Elephas maximus indicus: one gene and its partner. The protein of the gene in region 2 purifies or fractionates together with the protein of the main gene of each other region. This does not show direct contact. Links are inferred from orthologs where the notes say so. Each region holds a gene or a part of one and is shown on either strand. Other genes may lie near its edges.

The links. The genes of interacting proteins can lie anywhere in the genome.
Region 1: the proteins of STYK1 (region 2) and TMEM259 purify together in Homo sapiens (affinity purification with mass spectrometry; 3 studies listed by BioGRID and IntAct, with this or other methods). This does not show direct contact. The link is inferred for Elephas maximus indicus from reciprocal best matches to the Homo sapiens genes STYK1 and TMEM259.

What each region holds. Positions count from the first base shown.
Region 1 is NC_064821.1:739,042-746,204, forward strand, and holds the start of TMEM259 (membralin), read right to left. Parts: upstream 3,050-7,163; 5' UTR 2,890-3,049; coding exon 2,665-2,889; intron 46-2,664; coding exon 1-45. UniProt on the Homo sapiens protein: May have a role in the ERAD pathway required for clearance of misfolded proteins in the endoplasmic reticulum (ER). Promotes survival of motor neurons, probably by protecting against ER stress.
Region 2 is NC_064822.1:69,424,378-69,431,951, forward strand, and holds the start of STYK1 (tyrosine-protein kinase STYK1), read right to left. Parts: upstream 3,055-7,574; 5' UTR 2,986-3,054; intron 1-2,985. UniProt on the Homo sapiens protein: Probable tyrosine protein-kinase, which has strong transforming capabilities on a variety of cell lines. When overexpressed, it can also induce tumor cell invasion as well as metastasis in distant organs.

The DNA of each region.
Region 1 (7,163 bases), on a different chromosome or scaffold from region 2:
GAAGGCGACATGGATGTAGGCCAGGACGGACAGCACCAGCAGGGCCTGGGAAGGGCACAGGGTCAGCGGGGGCCACCGAGACCCGCCATCCCGCCTGGAACCCAGGAGGAACCCCGTCAGCAGGGCCCGGACCGGGAAGACCCTCAGAAGTGGGGTGGCTCCTGGCTGCAGCACAAATAGCACCTGGCCATCCCCTCACACATTAGCTGAGTACCGACCGGGTGGAGCCAGAGGTGAGGGGTGCCCCAACACAGCCCCACCCCACCAATGCCTGCAGCCAGACAAGTCCCATGGCACCCTCTTGGGGACTGTGCAGGACCCCCCACCCAGGGAGAGACCAGGCTGGGCCTGACCCCAGCAGATGAAACCCACTAGCCGGGCATACCAACGCCACTTAATGTCTGCGGTCCTGCAGTGGCTTAGGCTAGGAGCTGCCACCTCCAGGAAGCCCACTGGTCCTATTGCAACTCCCTGAGCCACTCCAACTGGCCTCAGAGCTCCCCTGATGGCACCGGCTAAAAAGAAACCTCCCTGTGGAGCCAGGCACCCTCTGTCCCCACTGCCCAGGCCTGGCAGTCAGCTGGGACCACCAAGAGCACAGGGAACCTCCCAGACTGGTTGCACCTATGGCTAGCAGCCCTGCCCCATGAGGCATGGTTTTCTCGCCTGTAAAATGGGACAGCAGCAGCTCTCACCAGGTGATGCTGTCCCCAGAGGACACTGGTGATTTCTGCTGGTCTGCTGCTCATGGTGTGTCCAGAGCCCAACCCAAGCAGCTGACACTCTCCCCGCTCCTCCTCCAAGAAGCCGTCCCTGATGCTGCCAGCCCGAGCCGCAGGGCACCGTGGATGCTTTGCCACCTGGCAGGTCTTTCCCAGCCTGCCTCCCAGTGCCCACTGCTCTGCTTACCCAGCGACCTCACTCTGGCCCCACAGCTGTGGAGGCCAGTGGTGGGTCGGGGCTGAGGGCAGAGGGGTCTTCTCAGACCCTCCGGCTCCACCTCTCCCACACTCCAGCAGTGGGCACTGTATGGCTGTTTCCTAAAAACTGCCCAAGGCCTGCCCACCCCCCGGCAAGACATGACTGCAAAGGGAGGCCACAGCCACTGCAACGAGCATGCCTGACCCTGGGAGGGCAAGAAGACGAGGCTGAAGCTTTCTGGAGCCCAGCACAGCCTTCAGGTCACGGGTGCCGGGGGAAGGGTTCACAAGGAACAGAACCACGCATTCCAGCACTCAGGCGAAAGGAGGTGGTGGGTCAGGAGACTGCCTACGGTCGCGAAGCCTCCCTGCCAGAGCACGTCTGGGCACTGGCAGGGGTCTTTCAGCCCTGGCTCCATTCAGCCCCTTGCACACAGGTGAGACAGATTAGCCCTGACCTCTGACACACCTCAAATCAGGAAGTGATGCAGCCAGGGCCACATATGTGTCTTCAGGGAGGATGACCTCGGGGGACGCTCAGTGCTCCGGCCACTGAGGCAGAGGGTCCTGTCTGGATCCCCAGCCACCCTCAGTGTCAACCCAGGGCCAGGGTTCTCCTCCCTGAGGAAGCCACACACCCTGAGAAGAGCCTCTGCCAGTCGGCCTGACGGCAAAATGCCACTGACCAATACTCAGTCACAGGAGTCCCATCTCACATAGGAGAACTTGGGGTGCCTCCTCCCGGCTGGGACCCCATCCAAGTCTGTCGACCCACAAGGCTCCATGAGCCTCTTTCACCAAACCCCAGAGCCGCAGCTCCCAACTGGAGTCCACTGTGGACTCCTCGGGTCAGCCCCTCACCCACCAGCCATCAACGGAAACGAAAACGGCCATTTCGTTGCTTCCTCAGAAATGTCTAGTGACAACCGAGATCCCCTGCTCAAGCAGCGCCCCTGGAGCTCCAGCCTGGGTGGCTCAGCGACCTGGGCCAGCTCCGGGTCTCAGGCCGTGGCTCCCGCTGAGCAGGATCTGCCAAGTAAGTTGGCCTTCTCAGTACCGATGGTGGTCCCCAGAACCTGCCTTCACAGCGGAGCCCTCTGTCCATCGGAGGGGGGACAGGAAAGGGTCAGGGCCTTGGACAGCAAGGAGGGAGGAGAGCCTGTTCAACCAGACCCACAGGAGCAGGACTCCACAAGAAAGGCGCGGTGCCCACATAACTCCGACTAAGTCCGGCCAGTGACCTAACTAAGCTACATTCTCCTGCGGGCTCCAGGGAGAGGGCATCAGGGTGCAGGCAGGAGAAGAGACGAAGGTGGCGGGGGTGTGTCCTGAGGCACCAGGTTCCTGGCAAAGTCCAGGACTGGGGTTTAGGGCAGGTCAGGGCTGGATGGTGATTGGGAGGGCCGTCCTCCCAGGCTGAGGACCCCAGGCGTTGGAGGGCAGGAAGGGGCCCCTAGGAGGCCGGGGCCGGGGTGAGAATTCTGGGGTTGGGATCAGGGGGGTCCTGTAGGGTGCGGCTCGTGCCTTCCAGGGTGGGAGTCTCAGACCAGGATGGGGCCCAGGAATTGGGGTCAGCGACTAGGCTCAGCGATCGCAGGTTCGGGGGAGGGTCCCGAATCCGTGGAGTCAGGGGTCCAGGCCTCAGAGCAGGAGGGGTTCGGCGTCTCGGCGAGGATCAGGGGTCGGGGTCACAGGTCGGCCGAAGGGATCGGGGTCAGGGGTCGGGGTCGGGGGCCGCGGTCACCTTGAGCAACACGAAGAATTCGAAGAGGCGGCGGAAGGCGGGCGGGAAAAGCCGCGAGTAGGTCACTGCCATCTTGAAAAACAGCGCGTGGAAGAGCCGGTCGCGCACGTTGATGAGCGGGTTGGGGTTCAGGTTGGGGGTGCGAGGCCCGCGCGCGGGGGCCGGGCCACCGCCACCGCCGTTGGGCCCGGGCCCCGGGGCCCCGGGCGCCGCGTGCTCCGACATGCCGCCCAGCGTCGCGCCCTAACGCTCCGCGGATCCCCGAGGGCGCGCCCCGGCCGCCATCGGCCTGTCGCCGCGATCCTTACAACCCCCCGGCCGCGGCCGCCATCTTCCGCCTCCTCGTCCAGCCGCGGCCCTGCTGGTGCCAGAGAGTCGCTGCGCCGGGCAAGAGCGCCCCCGGCGTCCGCGGGGCACACTGGGATGCCGGAGGACCGTCCGCGGCGGCCCCGCCCCGTCGCTCGGCCGCTACGCTCGGCGGCGTCGGGGGGCGGGGCTGCATCCGAGCAGAATTTTTGCATATAGTGCCCCATAAGGCTCCGCGGCTGCTGGCTACGCTTGGGCGGTAAAATAGGCTAACGTCTGAGGATTTTAACGTGATCAAACACAGTCAAAGTAAATTTAACTAGGGGAGATATTGTTTAATATAGGGCTGTGGAAGATTATACTTAAGATATAACGTGTATATAGTTAGGCATAACTGTAAAAGTTATCTGGTCTTAGCCTATAAATAGGGATTCGGGGTGGCACCTGCTTGTGCTCGCTTCGGCAGCACATATACTAAAATTGGAACGATACAGAGAAGATTAGCATGGCCCCTGCGCAAGGATGACACGCAAATTCGTGAAGCGTTCCATATTTTCTTTTCCAGGACGGCGGCAGCCAGCCAGAGTGGACCCTGCCCGTGAAGTGACAGGGCCCGGCTATGCCCCGCCACCTGTGTCCTTAGAAACCGTGCGCGTCTGGGGGTATTTATCGAATGCCTGCTGCATGCACGGATTTAAGAGCTCCCAGATTTCGGGTTGGGGGGTCTCTCTTGCAACTGTCTTAGTTTTTCCCTCTGTGAGTCGGGCTGCGTCAGCGTCCATCTCGCCCCTGCACAGTCAGACCCTGGCTCCCCAGACCCCCGGCCCGGTCTGGCGGGACCAGCGTGTGTCCCGCTGCAAACTGTGTGCACCTGGCGACTGCAAAGTGCTCCAAACCCAGGAAGGAGTTCGAGCTGCGGACACGCGCTCCTCTTGGCTGCCTCGGAGTGGGACGTGTACCTGCCCCTCCACCAGCACCCCACTCCTGACCGCGCCTCGCAGCCTTGGACGGCCCACGGGGCCCCGGGCCCGGTGCTGGGTGCCTCCTAGCACCCGAGTATATTACTGCACCAAGTAAATGAGGATCGCTTACTGTGTGTTCATAAAGAAAACAAAAATCCTCACAACGGAACAATAAGCACCATCACGATAAATGGAGAAAAGATTGACGTTTTCAAGGATTTCATTTTATTTGAATTCACAAATAACACCCATGGAAGCAGCAGTCGGGAAATCAAACAACGTAATGCATTGGGCAAATCTGCTACAAAAAAAAACTCTTAAGAGTTAAAAAGCAAAGATGTCACGTTGAAGACTATGGTGACTGCCTGACCCAAGCTATGATATTTTCACTTGCCCCATATGCATGCGAAAGCTGGACAATGAGTAAGGAAGACAGAAGAAGCAACGCCTTTGAATTACAGTGTTGGCTAGGAATATTGAATATACCATGGACTACAAGAAGAATGAATAAGTCTGTCTTGGAAGAAGTACAACCAGAGTGCTCCTTGGAAGCAAGGACGGTGAGGCTTTGTCTCACATACTTTGGACATGTGGTCAGGAGGGATCAGTCCCTAGAGAAGGACATCATGCTTGGTAAAGTAGAGGGTCAGCAAAAAAGAGGAAGACCTCAACAAAATGGATTGACGAACAGCGGCTGCAACAATGGGCTCAAACTTAACAATGATCATGCGGGCAGCGCAGGCCGGGGCAGTATTTCGTTCTGTTGCGCACAGGGTCGCTGGAAGTTGGAACCTACTCCAGGGCACCTAGCAATAGCACTGTGTATCTGAGGAGCCCTGGTAGGCAGTGGTTAAGAGCTCCGCTGCTAACGGAAACATCAGCAGTTGGAACCCACCAGCCGCTCTGCGGGAGACTGTGGCAGTTGGCTTCTGTAAAGATTTACAACCTTGGAAACCCTATGGGGCAGTTCTGCTCTGTCCTACGAGGTCGCTATGAGTTTGAATCCACTCGATGGCAAGGGACTGTGTGTCTGGTGCTCAAGCGCCCCAAAGCAAGGCAGATTTGGCCACAGCAGGAAGCCTGGAAGGGCAGGGGGAGGAGAGGGACAGGCTGGCAGAAAGCAAAGACGTTTTAGTGGAGAGCTGGACTCTGGGTTAGGCACCCAGGCCTGAAAAGAAAAACGGAAAGGGTTCTGGGCAATGAACTTTCAGACTCCCAGGGCCTGTGCTGGGCTCTGGGCTCACAGTAGTGGCTGTGGGCCGAGAGACTGGCAGGGAGACAGACAAGGTGATGTCTGCCTCCTGACAGTGAGCTTCACGCTGTGATGGGCACAGAGGCCCCTGAGAGAGGTGGGGACATGGGCGGGGGTGGGGGAGTTGTCAGGGAGGGAGGAAACTTTCCAGCTGTGGCCTGGAGGCTGGAGAGAACCTTCCAGACCTAGCTGCTGATTTCATAATTACCTGTGCCTCCTCACTGGACACAGATGGACAGACGGATGGATGGGGCCCTCCCCTACAAAGACAAGAAAGCCAAAGCTGTTCTCTTCCTGTTACACAGGCCTTGTACAGGGCCTGGCATACAGTAGGTGTTCGCTAAGTGCTCAGCTACTAACTGAAAGGTTGGTGGTTCAAATCCACCCAGAGGCACCTCAGAAGAGAGGCTTGGTGATCTACTTTTGAAAAACCAGCCATTGAAAACCTTGTGGAGCACAGCTCTACTCACACATGTGGGGTCGCCATGAGTCAGGTCAACTGGAAAGCAACTGGTTTTGTTTTTCCCCTTAAAATTATTATGAATCAATAGAGTGGAGAGGGAGGGTGTGCTGTCATGTTGTAGGGAGAACAACTAGGGTCACATTACAATGTGTATAAGTTTTTGTTTGAGAAACTGATTTGAATTGTAAACTTGCACTTGAAGCACAATAAAAGGAAAAAAAAATTATGAATCATGCCCAGCTTATTAAAAAAAAAAATCATAAAGGGAGAAGAAATTGTCTTTCCCAGTGGAGAGACTGGGTGGGCATCCCCTTGACGAGGAGAGGAAGCCCAGCCTCACTGTGGGGCGCTGGGGGCCTTGCATGTGAGGCAGAGGACAGCTGCCAGGCCTCCGGGGAAGGCCAGTCAAGCCTCTGCCCAGTGCCAATAAGATCAGTGGCCACCTGGGGCTCCTGAGCCTGCAAAATGTGGCCAGTGTGACTGAGGAGCTTAGTTTTGAATGTAACTTATTTTTTTCTAACTTAATTCAAGTTTTAATAGCCATATAAGGAGCCCTGGTGGTGCAGTGGTCAAGCGCTCGGCTGCTAACCAGAGGGTCGGTGGTTTAAGCCCTCTGGAGAAAGATGTGGCAGCCTGCTTCCATAAAGATTTCAGCTTTGGAAACCCTATGGAGCAGTTCCACGCTGTCCTTGTCATGGATTGAAATGTGTCCCCCAAAATGTGTGTCAACTTGGTTAGGCCATAATTCCCAGTATTGTGTAGCTGGCCGCCATTTTGTCATCTGATGTGATTTTCCTGTGTGTTGTAAATTCTGCCTCTATGATGTTAATGAAGTAGGATTAGAGGCAGTTATGTTAATGAGGCAGGACTCAATCTACAAGATTACGTTGTGTTTTAAACCAATCTCTTCTGAGATATAAAAGAGAGAAGTGAGCAGAGAGACGGGGGATCTCATACCACCAAGAAAGTAGTGCCAGGAGCAGAGTGAGTCTTCTGGACCAGAGATTCCTGTGCTGAGAAGCTCCTAGACCAGGAGAAGATGGATGACAAGGACCTTCCTCCAGAGGTGACAGAGAGAGAAAGTCTTGCCCCGGAGCTGGTACCCTGAATTCAGACTTCCAGCCTCCTAGACCGTAAGAGAATAAACTTCTGTTTGTTAAAGCCATCCACTTGTGGTATTTCTGTTATAGCAGTCCTAGATAATTAAGACAGTCCTACGGGGTCGCTATGAGTTGGAATGGATTCAACGGCAGTGGATTTAAATAGCCAAATGGGGCAAGAGGCTGCCATATCAGATGGTGTAGCTGTAAACCTTACTTCCACTTGCCAGGAACACAGAGCCTCCAAGAACAAGTTAAACTTCACCACAAATGCAAACTGTGCACCCAACACCCTTAAAAAGTCACCATTAGTTGAAAGCAGGGAGGCAAACAGATCCCTGTACACCAAGGTTCACAGCAGCACCGTTTACAGGAGCCAAAGGGTGGAAACAACCCAAGTGTCCATTCATAGATGA
Region 2 (7,574 bases):
TCAGCTCTGAGGGAAGGTTCTTGCCTCCTTTCAACATCTGTGGACCCTGCATTCCTTGGAAATCTACGTATGTTTTGGCATCAATCTTCCCCCAGGTATAGGAGGTGCAGGGATATACTCTGCTCCTGGCCTGGCTCTTCTTTCTTGGTGGTATTCAGGTCCCTCTCTCTGTGCTTACTTCTCTCTGCTTTCATCTCTTGTAGGGACCAAATTATTTCTTAGTTATCTAGTGCTGCTACAACAGAAATACCACAAGTGGATGGCTTTAATAAACAGAAATTTATTCTCTCACAATTTAGGAGGCTAAAAGTTCAAATTTAGGGCGCCAGCTCCAAGGGAAGGCCTTCTTTCTCTCTCTGCCTGATGGAAGGTCCTTGTCTCCTTTCAACATCTGAGAGCCCCGCATTCCTTTGAGATCCCCATGTGTCTTGGCATCAATCTTCCCCTGAGTCTAGGAGGTTCTCAGCACAGGGACCCTGAATCCAAAGGATGTACTCCTCTTCTGACTCTTCTTTCTTGGTGGTAGGCGGTCCTTCCTCTCTTTGCTCACTTCTCTCTCCTTTTATCTCTTGTAAGATAAAAGATATGACTCAAGCAAGGGTGGTACCTCCCACCCTTATCCTCATTAACATAACCCAGTCATGCCTCATTAACGTAATGGAGAACTCACTTCCAAATGGGACCATAATCACAGGCATAGAGGCTAGGATTTATAACATCAGATCATAAAATGGAGAAACAACCACACAATACTGGGAACCATGGCCTAGCCAAGTTGACACAAATTTGGGGGGACTCAATTCAACACATGACACCCCACCCTTTGGCCTCCAAAAATTCATGTCCTTGCCACGTGTGAAACACATTCACCTCATCATATTATCCCAAAAGTCTTAAATCAACTCCAAGTATCTCAGAGTTTAGGAAGCTAGAAGTCTAAATTCAGGGTGCCAGCTCTAGGAGAAGGTTTTCTCTGTCAGCTCTGAAGGAAGGTCCTTGTCTCTTCTGAGCTTCTGCTCCTAGATGATCTTCATCTGGCTTGGCATCTCTCTTCTCCCATTTGTACTACTTAGCTTGCTTGTTCAATATCTTTTATATTAAAAAATAGATTGACTCAAGATACACCCTAATCCTACCTCATTAACATAACAAACATAAACTAATCATGCCTCATTAATATAACAACCAACCCATTCACAAACGGGATTATAACTACAGGTATGGGTTAGGATTTACAACACATCACAAGATGGAGCATAATTAGATCACGAAATGGAGGACAACCACACAATACCGTAAATCGTGGCCTAGCCGAGCTGACACATATTTTGGGGGGACACAAGCCAATCCCTAACATTCTACCTTTTACCAAAAAAAGAAAAAACAAACAATAAAAAAAACTTGTTACTATTGAGCCAATTCCAACCCATAGCAACCCTATAGGCTAGAACTGAATTGCCCCATAGCATTTCCAAGGAGCAGCTGGTAGATTCGAACTACCAACCTTTTTGGTTTGTACCTGTAGCTCTTAACTACTGCACCACCAGGGCTCCATTTGGCCCCCAAAAATTCATGTACTTGTCACGTGAAAAACACATTCACCCCATCACATTATCCCAAAAGTCTTAAAATCAACTCCAACTCCAAAATCTCATTTCTGTATCATTTAAATCATATACGGGTGAGCCTTTAGGCATATTCCATCCTGGGGCAAAATTCCTCTTCATCTGTGAACAGATTCTCCCCTACAGCCTCCAGAAAGGAAAGAAGCCCTGCTAACACCTGGTTTTAGCCCCAGGGGACCCATTCCCAACTTCTAACTACGGAATTGTAAAATAATAAATTTGTGTTGTTTTAAGCCACTAAATTTGTGATAATTTGTCACACTAGCAAAGGCAAATTAATACATTCAGGTTAAAACAAAACAGAGCTGCAGAATCACATAGCTCCCGGTAGAAGTCTGGAGCACATGCTTGCGGGGCTGGATGTGAGGTGGTGGGAAAACAAAACTTCTCCAGAAGACGACTGAAATAGATGTAATGCTCGACTAAATTCAAGTGGGTACATAACGAGATACCTGGTAGTGGAGGCACTGAAGAAGCGTAAGATTGCCATTGAGCAAATATTTCATGATAACTCATTAAAAGGTCTGGATGACCCCCTTATGTGGCTGTCAGTGGAAATTCCGGTGCCCTGAGGAGGATAAATCAGGCCAGCAGCACTTTTTACAAAGCTCTGCTTTCAGGCACTGTATGTTGCAGAAGCTCACTTCCTTTATTTCCACCCTGATGGCTAACACTAGGTAGTGGGAAGAAAGCTTGGTCTGAAATGTATGAGAAAGTCAGATCCGGATAGAATTCATTACAGAGGAGGCAACAACCACAGAAGATGACCTGGGAAATGAAAGGCAAAGAAAAGAGACAAAATGGGGATGAAGTTGAAGGCTTAATAGTGAGAAAAGAAAGATTGGAAAAGGGAAGACAGATTAGGAAGAAAGCAAAAATTCCCATCAAGGAACAGGATATCACCACAGTTTTTAAAGCCTGGTCACACATATTATCTCATTTAAATATCACAACAACCCTATGAGGTAATTACATTATTATTTCTGCTGTACAAATGGGGAAGCCGAAACCGAGAGCCAGTGAGCCCAAAGCCACACATACTAAAGACTGTGTAGTCTTGTAACTCCTTTTCCCTGCGTTGTTCTACCTCATTTCTCCTTGTCTCTCAGGGAATAATGGAAGCACCTCATCATGGGTTTGCTTACTGCTGCTCCCTTGCCAAACTGCACAGATGCCAAAAACCTCAAGATGTTTGTTCCAAAGAAATACAGGTTAATTCACCTGGTGACTACTCTTTGTTCACGCAAAATACAAAGAGCTGATTACAGCCGCCCCACTCCCAGCCTTCCCCGTTTTTCTTCTCCAGCTTCCATGTCCAACCCTAGCTCCATCACTACTGTCCCCCTTCCATCCTTCATACCCCCAAACTCCGTATTCACTGCCGTGTCCCTCCTCCGGTCACTCTGGTTTCGGATGGAACCGGCCGGGGGGGGGGGCGGAAATAAACGAGCGGTTTGGGTAGGGCAAGGTGTGCCAGCCTCAAGGAAATGCTTTTCAGTCCCGCCTCCCACTATGGGGCGTGGCTGCCATTAAAGGATGGAGTTTGGGCGGGCTCCCCACCAAGGGAACTCTAAGGGCACCGGGGTTTCCGGGACTCGCAGCACCAGCCGTTGGGCAACCTCTGCTGAAACTATAAAAGCTGGACTTAGAACTGATCTAGATACTAATTTCCTGCCCTAGTGATTGCTAGGTGGTCCAGTATAAAGGAGACTCCAGTCCAAGTGAAAATGGAAAGCTGCTATAAACGGCAACAGCGCCACCTCGTGTCCCATCCCATGGCAGCTACCGTCATTGGCGCTTAAAATGGTTTAGAACTTCAGGGTCACTAGTCGCCACAGGGACATTGTCCACCCCATCCGTTTGCTGGGTGTACAAGCGTTGCTACATGGAGAACTTAGAAGGAATAAATGGAAATGAAAACCCCAGGAGTAGGTAATTAATCGTCAATTCATTTACCGTATGTTTTTTAAATACCCATTTTGTGCTTGTCTCCTGTGGGGACATAGTAGTAAATAAAGAAGTTATTTACTTCTTGTAAATTCCTCGTGGAATTTACAATTATAGGAAACATTCAAGAAAATGCATAGCTGGAAGAATTCCAATTAGATATTCATATCTATACAAGTTCTGATAAAGAATTATAGGTCATATATTACTTGAATAGGTGACCAGTTTGTTCAGCCTTGAGAGCATACCAAACAGAAACTGGAATTCACTAGGACAGAAGGAAATTCGCTGCAATGTAATATGGAGTATTTAGAGATTGAGGTACTTCAGTCCTTATGGTGTCCTTCATTGAAATATTCATTTCCTTCAGAGCTCTTTTAAAACAGAATGAAGTTTCATTTTTGTGTTAGAACTGATGAATAAAAGCCAAAGGAATTTAGGTGAGCTTTTTTATATTATTTAATCTCCCACTCTACCTCTGTAGGCACCACAATCTCTTTAAGGGAAGAGCCTGTGACTTACTCATCTTTTTAATTCCCATGGCACCCTAGCATATTACTAGATACTTGTTAGTCTGTCAATAAAGGTAATGCACATGATTTTGTTTTTAAAATCTGGCTATTGTTAAGGAACCATTATATCAATAGAAATTTCAGTCTCTAGGACCGAGAATTTTGAAAAGGAAAATATAACAAAGAGGCAGAAACAAAAAATTGCCCTCCAATGTTATTGAGCAATTCCAATTTTATATATATATTTTTTTCCTGAGATAGAGAAAACAGTGGAAATAGTAATGTCCTGACATAAAACCACCTGAGGACATGCCATACAGAGAGTTCTGGTTAAAATAGCAGATATAAACAGGAGGTATGTATCTGTGGCTAGTCCCACACATATATTCATGAACAAGGTGGCCCGATATTTATCATTTCTCTTTTCTCTCCATGTGTTCATCCCCTTACAATTTCAATTACTACTTCCATCTCAGATTTCTGGCTCTCTGACTCAACATCAGCAGTGCTTCAGTCCCAGCATACCTGCCACATGGTTATTTCTGCCTTGCTATTAATTCCATACACGTTTATTGAGTGCCCATTATCTGCTCTGCCCATGTTAAGTACTAAACGGTAGGAAGTCCCACTAAAATACACACTGGGGCTCACATCGTTCTCCAGTTTATTGCACAGGAATTTTAACTACCAGATCCTGCTCGCCTCTAGATTCGATAGCAATGCCCTCCATTTGCGTGTTACTTAGTGCATTCACTTGTATGCTTCTGCGGTTGTGATGACAGATTCCCGCTTGAAGTCTGAAGTCTGCTGGGCTTCTGCAATCTATTTCCATAAGGCATGGCATCTCCCTTGGGAAATTACATTGTAAGGAAAAGAACAGAGTTTGAAGGCTTTGCCCAATAACTAAGAATAGTTTGGGTTTTGGTATGTGTTGGACTCTTTGTGTCCTTTAGCTCTGGGCTGGTGACTTATAACCGAGTCCTAGGCAGAGGAGAGTGTAGGTACAACCACAGTCATTCCTTGGTATCTGAGGGGGATTGGTTCCAGGACCCCCGTGGACACCAAAATTTGTGGATGCTCAAGAACCTTATACAAAATGGCACAGTATTTGCATATAACCTATGCACATCCTCCCCTATATTTTAAATCACCCCTAGATCACTTATAATAATAATAATAAAAAGTAAATGCTATGCAGGTAGTTGTTTCATCACAATTGAAGACTTGCTCTGGAAGGCAGCCTTTCTCTTCTCTGAGTTTCTTGAGCTCTCCTGGGGATGCTGATTCTGCCTGGCCATGAGTCCATGCAGATTCTCCCGTGATCTTTAGGTTCTTGAGGCTGTAGCTCTTTCCAGAGCTAGCCAGCCAGCCCTTACTAGCCTTCAGCTCCTTCTTCTCCTTCTCCTCAGCCCCTCACACTTCGTCTTTGAGGGACTGCTTTGACCACTCCTTTGCTTTCTAGGAGCCATTTTTCACAGAAACAAAGGGTGCACACAATACAAGTAGTGAAGGAACGAACAGTGCTCCAACAACGAGCACTGGAGAAAGACTGAGGATCTGTGAGATGACGGGAGGCCACAGCAGGGTACGCCTACACATCACTGCATTCGCTTGGATTTGGCTTAGCGCTTGGCTAGTGGCAAATTCAAGTTTTACTCTTTGCAAAAAATCTTTTTTCCGAATATTTTCGATCTTTGGTTGGTTGAATCCGCAGATGCAGAACCCGTGGATATGAAGGGCCAACTGTAGTGGAGGTATTTCTCTAAAAACTGTACTAGACACCCGGTTGCATTGCTTTGGAACTGTTGGAAAGGAATTTAACACAAGCAAGGCAGATGGATTATTTCAAGTTTATATGAAACACATCCCAACTTCACCACAGGAGGGCAGCAGTGGCCATAAATAGAAGATAGCGTCACAGGCTCCTGTGGCTTACCTGGACCGCTTGCACTGGCACAAAGGAACAATGCAACTTTGATGGCAGCTGTGGTGTAGAGTTATCAGTAGTCTCTGCAATAATACCAGACACCTCAATGGGGCTTCTCAACCAATGAGAGAAGATTAGACATCACCAGAGGGAACCTAAACCAGAGTAAGAAAATCCTAGACTCTATGTAGTAGCTGGGCACTGAGTTGATGGAACATTTATAAGGTCTCCCAGGGATAGCTCGGGAAGAAGTCTTTTAAGAAAGATCACAGATTCTGCAACCAACCCAAGGGAACCTGAGTTATTACTGTCCGTGGGACTCTATCCCCAGGTTGGTATGCCCTAGAGAATCTGGATTATGGGTACTGAATTTCCCAAATATATGTTTTTTCTTTTTACATCGTGCATTAGTTTTCTATTGCTTCCATAGTAGCAAATTATCACAAACTTGGTGGCTTAAACAACACAAGTCTATTGTCTTACAATTTTATAGGCCAGAAATCCAACATGGGTGTGACTGGGCTAAAATCAAGGTGTTGGCAGGGCTGTGTTTCTTTCTGGAGGCCATAGAGGAGAATCCATTTCCTTGCCTTTTCCAGCTTCTGGAGGCCATCCACATTTTTTTATTCACAATTCTGTTTTCTCCATCTTTAATGCCAGCAACAGTGGGTCGAATCCTTCTTACAACAGTTCCAAAGCAATGCAACTGGATGTCTAGTACAGTTTTTAGAGAAATACCTCCACTACAGTCGGCTCTTCATATCCGCGGGTTCTGCATCTGCGGATTCAACCAACCAAAGTCTTTCTCCCGCTGGCCACAGCTGGGAAAGTTTCTCTGCTTTTAAGGATTTGTGTGATTAGATTAAGCCCAGTTATAATCCAGGATAATCTCTCTAGCTCAAATTCTGTAACCTTAGTCACATCTGCAAAGTCCCTGCTGCCATGTAAAGTAACATATTCACAGATTCCAAGGATTAGGGACTGGACACCTTTGGAGATCCATTATTCTGCCTACCACATATTGTTTTTGAGAGATTTTAGTATAAGGTCCAGAGTCCCTGGGGGTGCAAACAGTTAAAGAGCTTGGCTGCTAACCAAAAAGTTGGAGGCTCAAGTCCACCCAGACATGCCTTGGAAGAAAGTCCTTGTAATCTACTTCTGAAAAATCACCATTTGAAAACCCTATGGAGCACAGTTCCACTCTGACACACCTGCAGTCATGATGTGTCATAGTCAAAGGCAACTGGTAATAGTATCTCATACCTCTTTATATTCTGTTTCCTACAAATAGTAAAAGATCAATAAATGTTGTTGACCATAAAAGAAATACCCAACTTGCCAATTACTTATTCTGGCAAAGAACACCCATGCTCCCCATGGAGAATAATGTGCTGATTTGGGACATTTTGCCAGCCACTTGGCCCCACTCCTTTCTTCCCCTTTTCTTCCTTTTCCCAAGATTCTCATAGAATCATTTAGTGTAGTTTAAAGGTCACTGACCTGCAGTCAGGGTCCATAGCCTGGGTCAAGTTTGGCATGTTGACCTAGCTGAGCTTCATCTTC